Nothobranchius furzeri: one gene and its partner. The protein of the gene in region 2 interacts with the protein of the main gene of each other region in a pairwise test. Links are inferred from orthologs where the notes say so. Each region holds a gene or a part of one and is shown on either strand. Other genes may lie near its edges. The genes, in order: sf3a3 and tada2a.

Region 1 (8,864 bases), on a different chromosome or scaffold from region 2:
AAATAACTAGGGATGTCCCACTGGGCAAATATTACAGGGTTCTGGACCAAAATATGGATCTCCAAAGGTCCAAACTCTAAACTGGGTGGTTAAACCAAACTCAAGGTGATATTTTACACTAAACCGAAAACCCACAACACTCTAAATGTAATAAAAGGAGATCTGCACCACAAAAAAGATGAACTCTAAACCAAAACATAAACGCTCATCCCAACGCAAGAAGCTGTTAGCGAAAATGCTAACAGTAGCTTTACCAACGTTAAGTTCAAGTTACCAAGTTTAAATAAACCAAAAACACCCAGCAGCAAACAGACCAGCGCGGAGGAGAGTCTGCTACCACCAAAACAGCTCTCCTCATGTCTGAAAGAAGCTCCTTTATGAAGGGAGAAACGCTCCCGGTGATTTTCTACATCTGTGGTAGAGACGAAGCAGCGCATCTGACCCCGGAAGTTGTTGTCTGTTGCCGGGAGACGAAGGCGGGCAAAACAGGAAAGGAATATAGCAGCGGACGGACATTGTTCCGGGTCTTCGGTATTTGGCGGAGATGTTAGTGAAGGCGGAGAAGAGGGCGAACTAGAGGAAAACCAGGCAGATTCCTCCTCTATTTACAAACTCCTGGGGATGCAACAAGTGGGCGCGGTGCGTCGACTACCGGATCTGACGGCGACAAATTTTTAGAATCGAGCCGTCGACGTCATCGAGGCTTCGCTACAGATCTAATCTCTCCTAACAGCAACGTGACTATACCACTGACTGTGTGCTTTTGTGTTTCATCTCCACATATAACACAAACCTTGAGAAGTTCTGCTGTGTGGTGGAGTTGCTAATGCTAACAGTTAGCTTCTACTTGCTGAGATGTTCTCTGGCAAGGAGGTAGAGTCACTAGTTGCTCCAGAGTTTTCCTCCCGCTGCTGTTCCCGGTTTGAGAGTCTGACAAAAAGCCACGACTAAACAGAACGTAGAACATCACTACCATGTCCTCCACTGTTGTACTGCGTTTTTGTGTTGTGTGGAGATCCCCTTGTGCTACTTTTCATACTCTGGTCCCAGATTTCTTACCCTCCACACTTCAGTCCCAGAGCCATGAGAGCAGATTTGAGTCGGTCCAGACCCAGCGAGGCCAGCTCCTGTGTGACACAAACAGGTGTGTGAGGAAGCAACCTTCAGTTTTAACTCCAACCAGGAGATTCCGGTTACTTACCTCCCAGGAAGAAAAAGCAGAGAGGTCCAGATGAGCACCGGCGTGAGTCAGAGCACTACTCGTCTCTTTCTAGAGCAAAATCAAAAAGCCAAGCATGTCAGGAGGGATCAGCGAGCCCCATCAGAGCCAGCAGACAGTTCTGGACTTACGGGCCACCCAGGAAAGGTGCCATTGTCCCACTTCTTCTCGAAGTCTCCGAGCACTTTGCTGTAGAGCTCATTCTGGTCCGACAGAGGTTTGACCCGGTCTGTGTAGTCCTGCAGGTACTCAAGCAGCATCTCCAGGTACCTGAACAAAGTCGTGTCATAAGATTTTCTGACCCGTCGAGTCGGACGTGACACCGCAGAGAAAGGCCTACTTTTTATACTCAGCGTTTTTCCTGTCTTTAGGGATGTCAAACAGCTGGTCAAACGAGGTCAGGTAACTGATATAATCCACCTTCTGTAAGACAGGAGCGGCAGTAAGAATACATGGATCCAAATCACACACGTGGACGATGTGAGGATCCCAACCTCGGCTCCCTTCAGGTTGATGTACTTCAGGTAGCAGTCATGGAGATCCAGGTAGCGACCGTATCCCTCCTCGTCAGTGAAATCCACCATGTCTGAGAAAGACACACAAGCATCACTTCAGCCGCAGCTTCTCCCGTCACTCACTCGTTACAAGTAGCCTGGCCTGCCAGGCTCGCCCTCCGTCCACTCTACACAGAGGACGGGTCTGGATCTCAGAGGCAGAGAGCACCACGAGGGGCGGGACTAACCAGCTCAAAAATAACCAGTCAAATAAAAGGCAGAACTGACGACTGTATCGCACAGCGCTCTAGTCAAAGATGGCGTCTGGCAACAGCGTAAACATCTTTCTTTAGAGGAAAGGCTTTTAGTGCTTCTTTTGTGAATTTAAAGACATGTCCAAGTTACTTAGAACAGAGGAAACAGCCACAGCGATCTCCGTTTTAGACGCCATCTTTGTTGTTTATGAGAAACCGAGTGTCAGTGTGTGACGTACGCTGCTTAGCGCTGATTGGCTCAGTTCAAATTCGGAAAGAGGGGGGGGGGGGCTGAATGGGAGCGTCACCAGGCCCTTTGCTTTGGCATGGCTGGCTAGGCTAATGCTCAGGAACACAGCAAAAAGACTAATTACAAGCTGGGATTGACAACCTCAAATAGTTGAATGAGCCTCTATTGCAGGTAGAGAATGAATGAATGAAGTACCAATGAGCTAAAAATTTCCAGATGTTTCATGAGTTTTGGGATGGAAACTGGAAACTAAAAATGGATCAAACCTCAGCTCAGCTAAACCTACGATTAGATTTTAATGTGCACCAACCCATGTTATTTAATCCAGATCTTAATGAACCAAATTAATCTAGTTCTCTGCTCCAAATCCCTCTAATAAAGCGATCTCAGCAGCTTTGGCAGCTCCAGAACCTTCCAGAGTGAGTCGTTTCAAGACTCTGTGGAGCCGGATGGCAGTGGCACTTTCTGAGGCAAAAGCTCGGACATGGGAGAAGCTGTGGAAAAAGACCATCGGTCGGCTCCAAAGAGGTTCTGACAAACTGTCCAGCGCCTCTGGACGGGAAGGCGGCAACTCGCTCACACTTTCTGCAGTGGGGATGGGGAGCTGCTGACGTCAACTGGGGCAACAGTCGGACGGTGGAAGGAATACTTTGAGGAGTTTCTCAATCCCACTGACACGCATTCCAAGGAGGAACAGCCTTGGTTGACCTGGGAACGGACTGTCCGATCTCTAGGGCAGAAGTTACTGAGGTAGTCACACAACTACACAGCAGTGGAGCCTCGGAGGTGGATGAGATTCGTCCTGGGTATCTCACGGCTTTGGATATTGTAGGACTGTCGTGGTTGAGATGTCTCTGAAACATTGCGTGGTCATCAGGGGCAGTTCCTGTGGAGCGGCAGACCGGGGATGGACTCCGCCAGGACTGCCCTTTGTCACTAGTCCTGTTCATAACATTTATGAACAGGATTTCTAGGTGCAGCCGTGGTGTTGAGGGTGTGGAGTTTGGTGGCAGGAGAATCTCATCCCTGCTTTTTGCGGATGTGGTCCTCCTAGCTTCATCAAGCTCGGACCTACAGCTCTTGCTGGGGAGGTTCGCAGCCGAGTGTGATGCAGCTGGGATGAGGATCAGTACCTCCAAATCTGAAACCATGGTTCTCGATCGGAAAAGGTCTGGGCTAAGAAACTCAGACATCCGGGAGGGACTCTGAGTGGAGCCGCAGCTCAACTGGCTCCTCCGCATCGAAAGGAGCCAGTTGAGGTGGTTCGGGCATGTGGTCAGGATGCCTCCTTGACGCCTCCCTCGGGAGGTGTTTGGGCATGTCCTGCCGGCAGGAGGCCCCTGGGTTGACCCAGGACTACCTGGAGGAAATACATCTCTAGGTTGGCCAGAGAATGCCTGGGTGTCCCAGCTGAAGAGCTGGCGGACGTGGCCAGAGAGAGGACTGCCTGGGGGGCCCTACTTGGGATGCTGCCCCAGCAACCCTGACCCCGGATAAGCGGAGGAAGGTGAGGTGTGAGGTGAGGCTCACTCCTGTGAATCTAGGAGGGGCTTGGAGTAGAGCTGTAACTGCTCCAGTCATCAGCCATGTGTGTGTGTGTTTCCTATGCGAATTTAGTGGATTGTTTCAGGCATAATTCCTAAAACCAAACACTGAAAGAAACAAATGGACAGGTCAGGAGTGCTTAGAGAGACCCACATGGCAGCACCACCTTGAAATCTAGCTCAGGGGAATTGTGACACCCACTCTTATCCATTAAACATGGATGAATGGCAAACCTCGTCGAACTTACTCTGAGCCTCCTCGCTGAGATTTTCTTTGGCCTTCATCAACTCTTCAAATTCTGCAGACATGGGGATGGAAATCTACAGAAAATATGAGACAAACAGCAGTGAGACTGCTTCAGGTACACTATACAATCTAATCTGACTGCTCACGATGTCTCTTACTTCATTTGGGTGCTTTCGGTGGAACTCCTTTATCTGCTTTAGTCTGTTGTAGAACTCTGCAAACTCATTTGGTCCAGAGATGGCACCAAGCTCGTCCTTTCTCATGCTGGATGGGAGCAATTTCCATTTTTTATTCAGGTGTTTTCAACACTTAAACACAAGTAAACATAAAACACCAATCCAACGCCTCGCCTTTATCAGATCTGATATGGAAAAAAGAAGGAAATGTTGTATGGAAGAAATACAATCTCATCAGAATGACTTTTTTTAGACATAGAATTTATGAAAAAGAATTTTTATTATGTGTTATTTGAATTTTTTAAAATTTAAAATACATCAGCAAAGATTTCATCCATAAAAATTCAACAACTGAGGTGACCTCTTGGTAAACCAAGCCAAAGCGACCATCGATTAATAGATTCAAGAGGCTTTTAGCCAAGCATATTAGACTTCTCTGATCATGTGACACCAGTTAGATGTCGACTCAATGGAGTGATGTTTACTTTGGCTTGGTTACGTCAGTTGATGTTGAATTTTTGCTGTTGAAATCCTGTTGTTGAATTTTTGAAGATGAAATTCTGCAATTGATGTTTAACAGATTAAAATTTTGCTGGTGTAATTTAAGTAAACAAGTAAATAAATTCAAGTACACGATTTCACAGAATTAAAATTCTAATTAAATGAACGTCTAAAAAATTCAAATTCTGGCAAGGCAGTGTTTCTTCCATAAAGCAGTAGCGAGTGCTCTTTGTATACGCAAAACGATGGTTCGCTGGGCTTTATGCACTCGCCATAATAAAATCATAAATTAATATCACAGACTGACATATTCTCAATGTAACTTATGAATGAGTTTTAATGTTTCCCTTACATCAGAAATATCTCAGCATCATAAGGAAGTCGTTTAGATGGTATCATTAAATGATAGCATTTAAATGCCATCTTCCTCTTTGCCTCCATCTGACCACTTCTTTTGAATGTTTTTTTTCTTTTTATATTCACCACAGATCTCTCATCACTCTGACAGAATCCGCCGCCATACCAAACGCTGTACCACTCAAAGACAATAAAAAGATTTTCCATGCCCTACCTCACCCACAAGCACCTCGATTTCAAGCTCAGTGAAACAGGCGTTTTTCGCTGTTGCCATGGTTTCCACATGAAAATCCACAGGTTGGCTGGCTTATGTATATCCAGAATATTGATGAAGTGATTTGCACTGACCATAATGGTAGCAGTGGGTGTGCGGGAGGCGGGATGTGATCCAAAATCACCTGAACACATTTCTAGGTAGAGTTAGATAAAGCAGGAATTGTGTACAGCTATATGTACGCAGTGTTTTATGGGTCCAATTTTTTATTTCTGCAAGTAAATTTTTTTAGTAAAGGATCCAAACAAAGTTTTATAAATAGAGCCATTGGACTTTAATATTTAATATATTTAATAAAAGAAGTAGCAACAAAAGCCGTGGAATGGGATACCAACGCTTCTGATAGGCCAGAATAAAAATGTAATTATATATTTAGATTTTTTTTACTGTCAGGAAAACAAACCTGAGTAAACAATGGGTAACAGAAAGAGACAACAGCTTAACTCTAACAAGCAAAAAAAAAAAGTACATTGAATATATTTAAAAAAATTAAAACGTACCCATCTTTGTCTTCATAAGAGTCCCTGAGATTTGCACTCACTTCCATATACCTCTGTGAGGAGACACAGAACATGACAACAGATGACATTAAACTAGCCAACACTGACTCACTGTTAGATCATCATGGTAATAGACTTGGCTCTAAATTACCATGGTAACACATAGCTTGACAACACCTAGCTCTAGAATACTATTTAAAGTGAGGGTCAATGCCTGGTTGGAGACGCATTTCATCCACATTTCCTGTTAGAAAAACGCTTCTGAAAGAGGCGTCACCTGGCGAACCGGGAGAGCGGCACTGAGGCAGTGGTAGACCGCACCCCCCTCAACCCCTCCGCGTGTGCTGTCGGAGTTTCTCAATCTAAAAACGAGTTGTTAACTAGCGCAGGCACACTCGCGCGTGCATGCAAGCATGCACTCACACAAGACTTACCGCTCAGGAAAAAAAAAGCAGACACAGATTCTGCAGCATTCTGGAGGATTTCCTTTTAACCACGATCATTAGATGAAAAGGGGAGGAGGGCATTACGCACATAGGGGTTGGGGCGCTCCGAGCACCCCAACCCCTATGTGCATAATGCCCTCCGGATCTAAGACTTTGGGTTAAGCTGTGTGTGAGATCAGTTGACAAATTCTGCTTCTTAGAATCTCCAGGTAGAAATATCAGACTGATTCAGATGTCATCATAGTTCTGTTAGATCTGAGAAGATCTAAATAAACATCAGATTGTTAAATAAAGCACATTACCTTTAGAAGCAACCAGCACACTGCACTGAGCTGATCAAGTATTTTATTCAACCACGACATACGCTTTCATTCAGGATCATGTTTAAATGTGATTCTTAAAATTATTTAAAACATTTTAAAAATCAACCTATGGAGGTCTGATCCCACCAAAATTGACAATAACTGGTTATAAAATTGAAAGTACATATAGAAATACATGATGCAATTATTAGGTGGGCTATTAGTATGAGTGTCTGCCCTGGGACTGGGATATCGGGATTCAAATCCACGGTCGAGTCACACCTAAGATTCGAAAAACAGGAACCAATGCCTCCTTGCTTGGCACTAAGCTTTAAAGGGTTGGATCGGGGGTTAAACCACCAAATAGCTCCCGAGTGCTGCCGTGTCTCCAACAACCTTTGGAGGACTGCCGGGGGTGGGTCAAATGCAGAGAACAATGTCACACATCAGTGTGACAACTAGTGGGACTTTAACTTTAATTCACCTCATCACCATATACCACAGGAAGTGTGAGGAATATAAATGAAGAAATGTATTAAAAAAATAGATGTGGAAATTAATAATTGTATTCATTTAACTCCAAGTGTGTTATCTTCAATTGTATTTCCTCATTTATTGAATTACTTTTTTTTTTTGCCCTTTCTTAATTTAATGTAAGCGTTGGCAGGATCAATCCTCCCTCTGTACCACCTGTTGGGTTTTGTGTATGAAGTCTGGATGTGTCAGTAAAGCCCTCTGGTTTCACTGCATTTTAATGAGGAGAACTTCAGATTAAAAGAGCAGCAGTGATCAACCTGAGGTTTTGATTTACTTCTCTAAACGTTTGGATACTATTAGTGAAAATTCAGTGAAAGTCCCCTGCGATGGGCTGGCACTCTGTCCAGGGTGTACCCCGCCTGATTGCCCATTGACCGCTGGAGATGGGCACCAGTCCCCCCCCCCCCGCGACCCTACGTGGCCAAGCGGGTTCAGACGATGGATGGATGGATGGTGAAAATTCACCAAAGTTACACTAAAAGTGAATGACGACCAAGGCAGGAACCAAGCATTACAGGTAACTCAATAAAAATAAAAGCAACTTTACCCAACAACAAATAAGCTTTATTTTCTGATATAACTTCTATATTACATTTAACAAATCAGAACAACATCGATTGCAATGATTCATAAAATTCAGATCTTAAGCACAATGATTGTTATTGACTCTATTACTTAACACGACGGAAAAAACTACACCACCAAACAACATTTAGCTCACTGGTGGAAGAGCAGCATTTCATACTTACATCCAACATGGCTCTTATTCGATGATCACAATTAATTTGATCCCGCAGCTGAAACAAGAGTCGAAAACAAATACGTGAACATTGCGTTGGTGTTAGCAACATGCTAATGCTAAAAGCTGCGCTGCTTACCGTGGTCTTTTTGTGCAACATTTCTTTAGTTTTTGCGTCCATCAGCCTCTCTTTCTCTTCGTGGTAGCGACGCTGTTGTTCCAAAATCGACTCCATCGTTTACAAAATGCTCAAGAGTTTAATGAAGACTGTTCAGGGTTGCTGCTGAAGCGTTAGCACAGCGCAGTATGGTACGTTGACCAAAGGCGTCTGTTCAGGAGTTACTGTCCGCTTCAGTACGGCTAGGAAAACATTTCCCAATTATTAGTTCCGCTGTGGTCACACAAACGTCCATAACGGTGACAGTACGGGATTCCTACAAGTGGACAAATTAGCATATATTTTATTTTTATATTATTAGAATTTTATGAAAGTTTTAAAATTATTATTTGCTGTCCATCCAGACCGATCCAGACGTGAGAGTTTGTGAATAATTCGACTGCGGACGGTTTTATGGATCAAAATAGAAATTTTCGTTCACGTGAGCTGTTTGAGGTTATTTTATTGTGAGCTATTTCTAATCACATCTCATCAAAGCCTGCAAAATCAGGACACACACACTATCCCAGCGCACACGCGGTGGAGCGCACTTACCACAGACCGGAAGTGTTGGCGCTTATAACTTGTTTCTTAGGTGCAAATGATAAATCATTCTCAAATGTAATACAACAATTTACGATGCATTCCACTGTCAGAGCTGTGTATAGTAATGTGACAGGATGTGATAAAACTAAAGTAGAAATGATATCCAACATTTTTATGATTCTCAGAGGTCTGATCCCATGTCATATATATATATATATATATATATATATATATATATATATATATATATATATATATATATATATATATATATATATATATATATTCCTTTTTATCTTTATAATTACCGCCAGAGCTTTT
Region 2 (8,864 bases):
AGAGTAAAACCAGCAGAAATCACGAAACCTGAGTTTAAAAAGGTGAAAATATAAAAACAAGAAGCAAAATTAAGTAAACGGATGAAACGAACTATTATGAATCCACCATTCTCCTAAGCTGAACACAGCTAAACACGGAGTTTCTCGCTTCAGGCAGAATCATAGAGCCGTCAGGGTAAACCGGCCAATCAGCATGCAGCTAATTTAATATTCGTTTCCTGGTCTAGTGGGTGGGGTAATTCTGCAGGGTTGTGTTTATCAGAGCTCCTGGGTAGAGCCCTGCACGGGCCTAAAATCTGAGCCCGTGTCCGGCCCGTTCCGAGGGGGTGGAGCCCCAGCCCGACCCGGTCCGAAAAGGTTTTCAGGAATCTCTGGCCTGACCCGAGCCCGACTTTTTTTTAACCTTTCATAATGTTTTAGCGTGATAGAATGCTCCGCGTTCTAATAATCTGTGAGAAGCGTTCTGCAGTAAAAAATAAATAAAGAAAGAAAAACAGCATCAATGCAGCTTTTTTCTAACAGAGCGTATTTTTCGAGCGGCAGATGAAATTTACGAACACTATATTAATTGGATGCGTTTGTAAATTTAATCTGCCGCTCTGAAAATGCGCAGTTAGAAAAAAACAGCAGTGAATGCTGTTTTTTTCTAACTGCAGAGCGAATTTATTCACAGAAAAATGGAATGCTGCCGTTTTCATGAGAATAAACGAACGGTTTCTGACATCAGAGTGGACATAAAACGGCGTATTAGAATAGGGGCACATGTTTCAATCAGCAGTTTGAGAATTTGTTTATATTATAAACCACACAGACCTGAACTGAGCTGACGGTGCGTGAGAAGCAGGCAGGTGCTGCTGCGTTCAAGTGTTTCAGTTTTGTTTTTTATGAATTCGATTAAAAATAAAGGCGCCCGGCCCGGCCCGTGTCCGAGGTAATTACACAGTCGTTGGCCCAAAGCCCGGCCCTCGGGGCGTCGGGCCGGGCCGACCCGCGGGCCTAGGGCTCTACTCCTGGGCTCCAGTTTCCACGTGTGAACAAAACGTTGTAGCAACTGAAGTCAGACAGACAGAGCGGAGCACGAGGAGAAGAGAAACTTCGTACCCGATACCGTGATCGTTGTGACAGCTGGAGTGACACCCGCATCTCTGTAATGAGACAGAAAAGTATTATTATCTGCTGCCACGTTCTCACTCACTCACTCACTCACTCACTCACCCACCCACCCACCCACCCACCCACTCACTCACTCACTCACCCACCCACCCACCCACTCACTCACTCACTCACTCACTCACTCACTCACTCACTCACTCACCCACCCACCCACCCACCCACTCACCCACCCACCCACCCACCCACTCACTCACTCACTCACTCACTCACTCACTCACTCACTCACCCACTCACTCACTCACTCACTCACTCACTCACTCACCCACCCACCCACCCACTCACTCACTCACTCACTCACTCACTCACTCACTCACTCACCCACCCACTCACTCACTCACCCACTCACCCACCCACTCACTCACTCACTCACTCACCCACTCACCCACTCACTCACTCACCCACTCACTCACTCACCCACTCTCGCTCGCTTACTCACTCACTCACTCACTCATTCACCCACTCACTCACTCACTCACTCACCCACCCACCCACCCACTCACTCACCCACTCACTCACTCACCCACTCACTCACTCACTCACTCACTCACTCACCCACTCTCGCTCGCTCACTCACTCACTCACTCACTCACTCACTCACTCACTCACCCACCCACCCACTCACTCACTCACTCACTCACTCACTCACTCACTCACTCACTCACTCACCCACTCACTCACTCACTCACTCACTCACCCACCCACTCACTCACTCACCCACCCACCCACTCACTCACTCACTCACTCACTCACCCACCCACCCACTCACTCACTCACCCACCCACCCACTCACTCACTCACTCACTCACCCACTCACTCACTCACTCACTCACCCACTCACTCACCCACACTCACTCACTCACTCACCCACCCACCCACTCACTCACTCACTCACTCACCCACTCACTCACTCACTCACTCACCCACTCACTCACCCACACTCACTCACTCACTCACCCACCCACCCACTCACTCACTCACTCACTCACCCACTCACTCACCCACTCACTCACTCACTCACTCACCCACTCACTCACCCACACTCACTCACTCACTCACCCACCCACCCACTCACTCACCCACCCACCCACCCACCCACTCACTCACTCACTCACTCACTCACTCACTCACTCACTCACTCACCCACCCACCCACTCAAGGCTTTGTTCACTCTTCTTGCTCCAGATTCTCATCCAAAAACATGAATCATTGCAGTTTTATGGATTTTTGGGACAACAGGCAGGAAAACGCCTCAGATAAAAGCCAAACGGGAGCCGCTGCGGCGGCACGTTAACCAGAGCCAAACACGTACGTCAGAGTGAGGTGGAAACATGACGTTTAGTCATCTCCGGTAAGCCCAGCTGTTAAGCTCTTACATGGCGGCCTGCTTGCTGAGCCACTGCTGGCAGGCTTTTCCATCTTGGATGTACTGAAGGACGTCACACAACATGGTCCTCTTCCTGCGCTCGTCCTCGCGCATCCGCTTCACCCGCTCGTACACTTTAGCGCCTGATGCAGACGGAACGGAGACGTAAATGCATGACTGTGACCTAATTCCTCAGGTTTACGCAGGCCTTCAGAAAAGTGCTGCTGAAACGTTGAAGGTAAAGGTCAAAGTTCAACTCACTGCAGAACGACTTGATCCCTGCTTTCCTGTATTCCTGCAGCCGGCGGATCTCTCTCCTCAACTCAAACTCCACTGGAACGACAAGAGTGTTGAAGGTTTAATGTGGATCGGGTCGCCGCTGCTGCAGATCGTCACGATGAGAAGCATCAGAGAACTTCCTCTAGCCTGACACTAAAACCATCTAAAGACCCCGAGTGCAAAGGGTAAAGACTGGATTTTTACACCACAACAAAGAGATTTTTCTGGGGTCAGAGCTGGTTGCCTAGCAACTGTTCAGGTTAAATAAAGCAGAGTGGCATCTATGAAATCGCAAACTACATTAGCAGAACTGGAAATGAGAAAGAAAGCAGCAAGCAAGCCTCCAGCCCTGCAACACCTGCAGCAGGCGGCTGGACGGAGCCGCACGCCGTCACACGGCTGAATCGATGGAGGCGTGAAAGGCTGAGCTGGAACACGCCACACCAACACGGCTGCGCAACATGTCACGCCTGATTCCTGCCTGCTGGCAGATGAAAGCAGCTTCAGAGGGAACGAGTGAGGTGGAGGTCCACCGAGCTCATCGACATTCAGCCGAAGCTACGTGAAAACGGCCTGCTGACCAGTGGTGGTAACCATGGCAACCAGATACTCACGCGCGTGACTTTCGATGAATTTGTCATGCTCGACCGGCCCCACCACTCTTGCAAACCTCCTCATGATGTCATACAGCTCCTGCACCTCCTTCGGGTAGCATCGCTCCAGCACTGACAACCAAAAGAGGACAGGAGTGAGTCCAAACCGACCGGGACACGCGTGGATCGGTCACCGTCCCCCTCGTTAGCTGGCATTAAAGACAAGATTATTAATGAAGCAGAGTTCAGTTCCACGCCTCCATCAGGAAGCAGGCTAAACAACCCCACAAAGCAGCACGGCACGACCCACTCATCATCACAAAACCAGCTCATTCTAAAGTAAGGTCAGAGGTCACAAGTCAAAAACAAAAAAGGAAACAAGGAGCAAAAATGTCGTCTGTGAGAGCGCTCCAAGGCCAAAACCCCAATGATCCAAGACTTTTCTGGATGTCCAGTTCCATCTGGAGTCAACCCAACCATCACTATAGCAACAGCCAGACATGGTGGTAGTAGTGTGATGGTCTGGGGCTGCTCTGCTGCTTCAGGAACACTTCCTGCTACTGACGGAACCACGGACTCTGCTCTCCAGTAGAACAACCTAGGAAACGCTCCGGTGTTAAGAGCAAATATGTTTCCTCGGCACAGCAGGAACATCTTTGCTACTTAGCTTCTGTCTCCTCAGATTACACATTTTAATCTTTATTCTCCTGGTTTTGAGAGAAATATTACTTTCCACTTGACAGAGACGGTAAAGACGTTCAAATCTGGGAAAAAAAAAAAGTTTGTTGAATCACTGGGAGTCAAACCCATGTCCAGCATCAAAAAAGTGGATTTAGCATTTCCTAAAATGATTGGCAGGATTTATTTCTGGACTGAGCAGTATAGCCCTAGTAGAACACGCCACTTCCTGTTATCTCCTCCCTGCTGACGTCATCGCTCACGGCTGCAGTGCCGACAGAACTGGGGATAAAAATCCTCCATTTTTATTCAAACACCTGATCACACACAGATCTCAACACACACACACACACACACACGCTGTCTTAAAGCTTCTCTCGTGTTGCCGGGTAACAGCCGGGTGTTGAACTGTCACTCCTGTTACAACCAGGAGACTTCAGCATCTGAGCTCTAATTAGCAGCTGCCATCTCAGGCTGAAGCCGGGCTCCAAACAGCAGACTCCCCCCCCCCCCCCCCCCCCCTCACACACACACACACAAAGTTATTCACGTCTCCATGGAGATGGAGACTCAGCACCTCGATGTGGCCTGATAGCCGCCAGAATCTCCCGGCCGCTGCACCTCCTGCAGCACAGACACGATACAGAGCCTCCCAGGCTCAGGTGCTGTTATTACACGTGATGCACACACGATCACACACGCATGATTACAAACACACACACACAAACAGACTTTTGACAGTCGCCATGACAACCAGTTTGCAATCGTAGTCCTCTTTTGTCTTCAGAACGCCGGAGGGCTGTGGGAAATGTTGGCTGAAGGAAGCATCTATTAAAACAGGGCAGAAGAGAGGACTGCTTCTCAGAGCAACAGGTGGGGCTGGTGTGTGTGTGTGTGGGGGGGGGGGGGGGGGGGGAGATGAGACACTGTAATTGGACAAAATCCTTCTGCAGCAGCAGCCTTCGATGACTCATAAAAAACCCAGAGGTGCAGAGGAATGGTTAGAGATCCAGCAGGTGCATCGCCCCCCCCCCCCACCCATTTGAGCCGTTACCGCAGCAACACTAATCAAACAGCAGCTAGGCAGTGCCCCCCCCCCCCCCCCCCCCCCCCATGCAAGACCTCTAACGGCTGCTGTGGTGGATGAAGGTTATTACAGCTGAACCATTTGCGCCCCCCACCCCCTCCACCCACCAGCTGATCCGCGTTAGAGGGAGGTTGGGGGGGGGGGGGGGTTCTTACTCTGAAACTTGCGGAGGTTGATCAGACCATGGTCCCGGATGATCCTGAAAGAGACAAACATGGAGTTTTAGGTCCTGCTCTCTGTTAAATGGCCTGTGATGGTTTTAGGGCTGTGGAGGTGAGACGCTGGTGGATGTTCCTGTCTCACACTAGCAGGTGTCTCTTTTATTATTATTTTATTATACTTCTTAATAACGCAGAGGCTGATGCAGCCACCAGGATCGTTTTACATCTGAACCAATCATCTGAAACCACTTTAATCCCATTATTAACCTGATGAAGCTTCACTGCAGCCAGGGCCAGATTAACACTCTGTTGTACCCTGGGCAACAATATTCAAGGGCCCCATCATCACGACCCAAGAACCACCATAATATGGTCACATGCAGAATATTTTAACCACACCCAATCAGGCTTGGGGGTGGCTACAGAAATTGACCTCAGGTGTGAAACACCACAGTTGGGTTATTTTTTAAAAAGGGGGGGCCATTACTTTTTCAACACAGGGCAATGTAGGTTTGGATCTCGTTCTCTCCCTAAATAATAAAAACCATCATTTCAAAACTGCTTTTTGTGTTTACTTGTGTTATCTTTGACTAACGGTTAAATGTGTTTGATGATCAGAAACATTTTGTGTGACAAACATGCAAAAGAATAAGAAATCAGGAAGGGGGCAAATAGTTTTTCACACCACTGCATGTGTCCACCCCAGGACAAGCTTCAGGTCCCACAGACCCACAACTTAAAGGGACTTTATGGAGTTTTGAATTTTTATGCTCGCGATTGCCCCCTCAGGCCAAAAGCATAACTGCAGCTTCAATAGGAGGCTCGTGCACGAGGCGCACAAGCTGTACGTGCACACTCCTTAACAAAAATAACAGGTGAGACAGCCCCATGTGTGTGTGTGTGTGTGTGTGTGTGTGTGTGTGTGTGTGTGTGTGTGTGTGTGTGTGTGTGGCCCGGAGGACAGGAGAACACGCAGCTAATTAATTAAATAATGTGGTTCTGTACCTTTCTCTTCAGCACAGCCGACAAAGGTTTAAGATGGGTCAGTCCTCCTGCATGCTCAGATCATTCCCTTCCCTTGCTTGAAAAATTGTTCCAAAATGAAATTTGAACCCAGATCTTTTTTATCTGTGAATTCAATGCCGTTCGGCAAGTCTCAAATAAAAATTTGGGCCTCTTACTGTAAAAAAAAATACAATTAATGTAAAAAATGAACTTTAAATAAACTGTGTTCACATCCAGAATCAAACCCAGGTCTTCTACACGAGAGTCCGATGTCTTACTAGGTGAGCTGTCTCCAGTGACGTCCTTGGTATCTGTAACATTTATATCCTTGATGACAGCTGAAACAATGTTCAAAGAACGGTTCGGAGTGAAAATGGCTGTTTTGTTGCTAATTTGCAGGAAATATCTAGAAGAAAGTTCTACAGAAAGTAGCTAAGGGTCCTCAGAAATGTAGCTAGCTTTGTCACTAGGCGTTAGGAACAGCGACAAAGTGGCACTGCCTCTCTCTCTGCTGCTAAAGCTACAGATAGCAAATGCTACGGGCGATGCCTGAGCGTGAACGCGCATGAAGCAGCCTGCTCGACCCGAGCATCTCTCTTTTTCTGTGATTTTACAGAAAAACAGGCAATCACAGTAAAAATGCCAGGGCTCATTCTACAGGACCAGGGCATTGCAGGAGAATGTATGAAGAAGACATTTATTATTTCTATACATGTTTTGGCTGTCACACTTCCATAATGCCCTTTTAAGGCTGGTGGTCCCCTGGAGGTCCAGCGATCCCAGCCTGAGGGCCACAGTTTCAGAAAACGCTGACTTGACTGATTTAACTTTGGTTGCTGGAGAGTAAAAACTCTCAGGAAAACCGTTTTTGATGGGCACACTCAAACAGCTGTGTGAGGGTTTTCTGATGGCTGTCGTTTAAAAGAAAACATCCTCGGTCTCTGGGAGTTGAAATCTTTTCCCTCCAACACGGAGAACATTCTATGGGACTTTTTACAAAGTGACACAATTTCCTTCTTTCTAAAAATGACCACCAGCTGAGCGTGAACCACTCCGTGTTCTGTAGCGACTGAAGAAACTGATTCTGGCTAGCACAGCCTCGCAGGACGTTGGTCCTAAATGAGCTTTTAACAAAACAAACACCTCTTTAGGTGATATAAACACATCAGCATCATTAATGTTGGAGCTGAGCTCAGAGGGAGACGAAACTGTTTGCTTTGTACTTTAGAATGAGCATAAATGTCATTAATTAAACCAGAGAGCTTAAGAGACCTGGGGGTGATTTCTCAGGCGTATGGCGCCATCTGCTGAAAGATGGAGGTTATTACAGGTTAATGAGTACTTTCTTCTATCACAAATAATACAATTCACCCACTTCTTCCTTCTTTGTCTCTCTTTTAATCTTGAATGATAAATATCAACGACAGCGAGCTTGAGGGCTGTGAGAGAAGCAAACACCACATGGAAAAGTAAAGTCAGCCACCTGAAGGTCAATCAGACGGAAAAATAAAAATACTAAAAACAAAAGTCCTACGCACCACGCAGGATATCTGAGTCATCGTCCACAAAGTCAATGTCCTTCAGGTCCCATTCTGCATAGTTGTCGAACTCCTGAGAGAGACATGAAAAGGGTTTTCACAATCTGCTCGTCTGCACCGAGCGACGATCAACAATTTATGAGAAACGGGTCTCAGAGAGGCAACAACAAAGGTATGAGTCACTGTTTCAATGAGGGTTCATCTCCAGCCCCCTAGTGGCGACTCTGATGGTTTATTCTTGCAGGTCACACACACGCACACACACACACACACACACACACACACACACCTCCATGAAGTCCGCTCTGGCCGGCATGTAGCCCGCCATGTCCCGAGACAGCATGGAGTCGAACGTGGGCCGGGGCGGGTCGTCGGAGGCTGCGGGATCAGAGGAAAACCAAAATCAAACTTCCTCTTTAACACATTAATGACCAGGAAGCTTAAATCTACCCGCTGCATGCGAGCAACACCAGAACCGACCTGCTCTGACAGGTGGAGGGTCCGACTCTCTGCCGGGTCACTTTCACACTTAACTGGTAAACCTGGAGAACTTAAATTCGGAACACCTGGCTGCTTAAAAGCTACACAAATCAGAAATGACCCGAGACCTTTGAAAAGTGTGGGGCGACGATGGCACAGGAGTTAAGTGCTCGCCCCGTAATCAAAAGGTTGCAGGTTCGAGTCCCACTCAGTCTGTTGCTGTCGTTGTGTCCTTGGGCAAGACACTTAACCCACGCTGCCTGCTGGTGGTGGTCGGAGGGTCCGGTGGCGCCAGTGCTCGGCAGCCTCGCCTCTGTCAGTGCGCCCCAGGGCAGCTGTGGCTACATCGTAGCTCATCCCCACCCGTGTGTGAATGGGTGTGTGAATGGGTGAATGACTGATTGTGTTGTAAAGCGCCTTGGGGGGTTCCAGGACTCTAGAAGGCGCTTTATCAAATACAGGCCATTCAAAAGTTCTGTGATGAAGCCTGAAGTAACTACGACATCC

What was found.
Region 1: the proteins of tada2a (region 2) and sf3a3 interact in binary tests that used the Homo sapiens proteins (3 or more experiments, as listed by UniProt). The two-hybrid records come from large-scale screens. The link is inferred for Nothobranchius furzeri from reciprocal best matches to the Homo sapiens genes TADA2A and SF3A3.

Annotation. Positions count from the first base shown.
Region 1 is NC_091751.1:25,497,601-25,506,464, reverse strand, and holds the start of sf3a3 (splicing factor 3A subunit 3), read right to left. Parts: upstream 8,202-8,864; 5' UTR 8,076-8,201; coding exon 7,980-8,075; intron 7,899-7,979; coding exon 7,851-7,898; intron 5,870-7,850; coding exon 5,817-5,869; intron 4,273-5,816; coding exon 4,167-4,272; intron 4,083-4,166; coding exon 4,010-4,082; intron 1,806-4,009; coding exon 1,714-1,805; intron 1,643-1,713; coding exon 1,560-1,642; intron 1,490-1,559; coding exon 1,351-1,489; intron 1,271-1,350; coding exon 1,202-1,270; intron 1,128-1,201; coding exon 1,060-1,127; intron 1-1,059. UniProt on the Homo sapiens protein: Component of the 17S U2 SnRNP complex of the spliceosome, a large ribonucleoprotein complex that removes introns from transcribed pre-mRNAs.
Region 2 is NC_091753.1:55,051,264-55,060,127, reverse strand, and holds part of tada2a (transcriptional adapter 2-alpha), read right to left. Parts: intron 8,256-8,864; coding exon 8,167-8,255; intron 7,951-8,166; coding exon 7,878-7,950; intron 7,779-7,877; coding exon 7,715-7,778; intron 5,373-7,714; coding exon 5,329-5,372; intron 3,541-5,328; coding exon 3,430-3,540; intron 2,870-3,429; coding exon 2,798-2,869; intron 2,680-2,797; coding exon 2,547-2,679; intron 1,146-2,546; coding exon 1,102-1,145; intron 1-1,101. UniProt on the Homo sapiens protein: Component of the ATAC complex, a complex with histone acetyltransferase activity on histones H3 and H4. Required for the function of some acidic activation domains, which activate transcription from a distant site. Binds double-stranded DNA.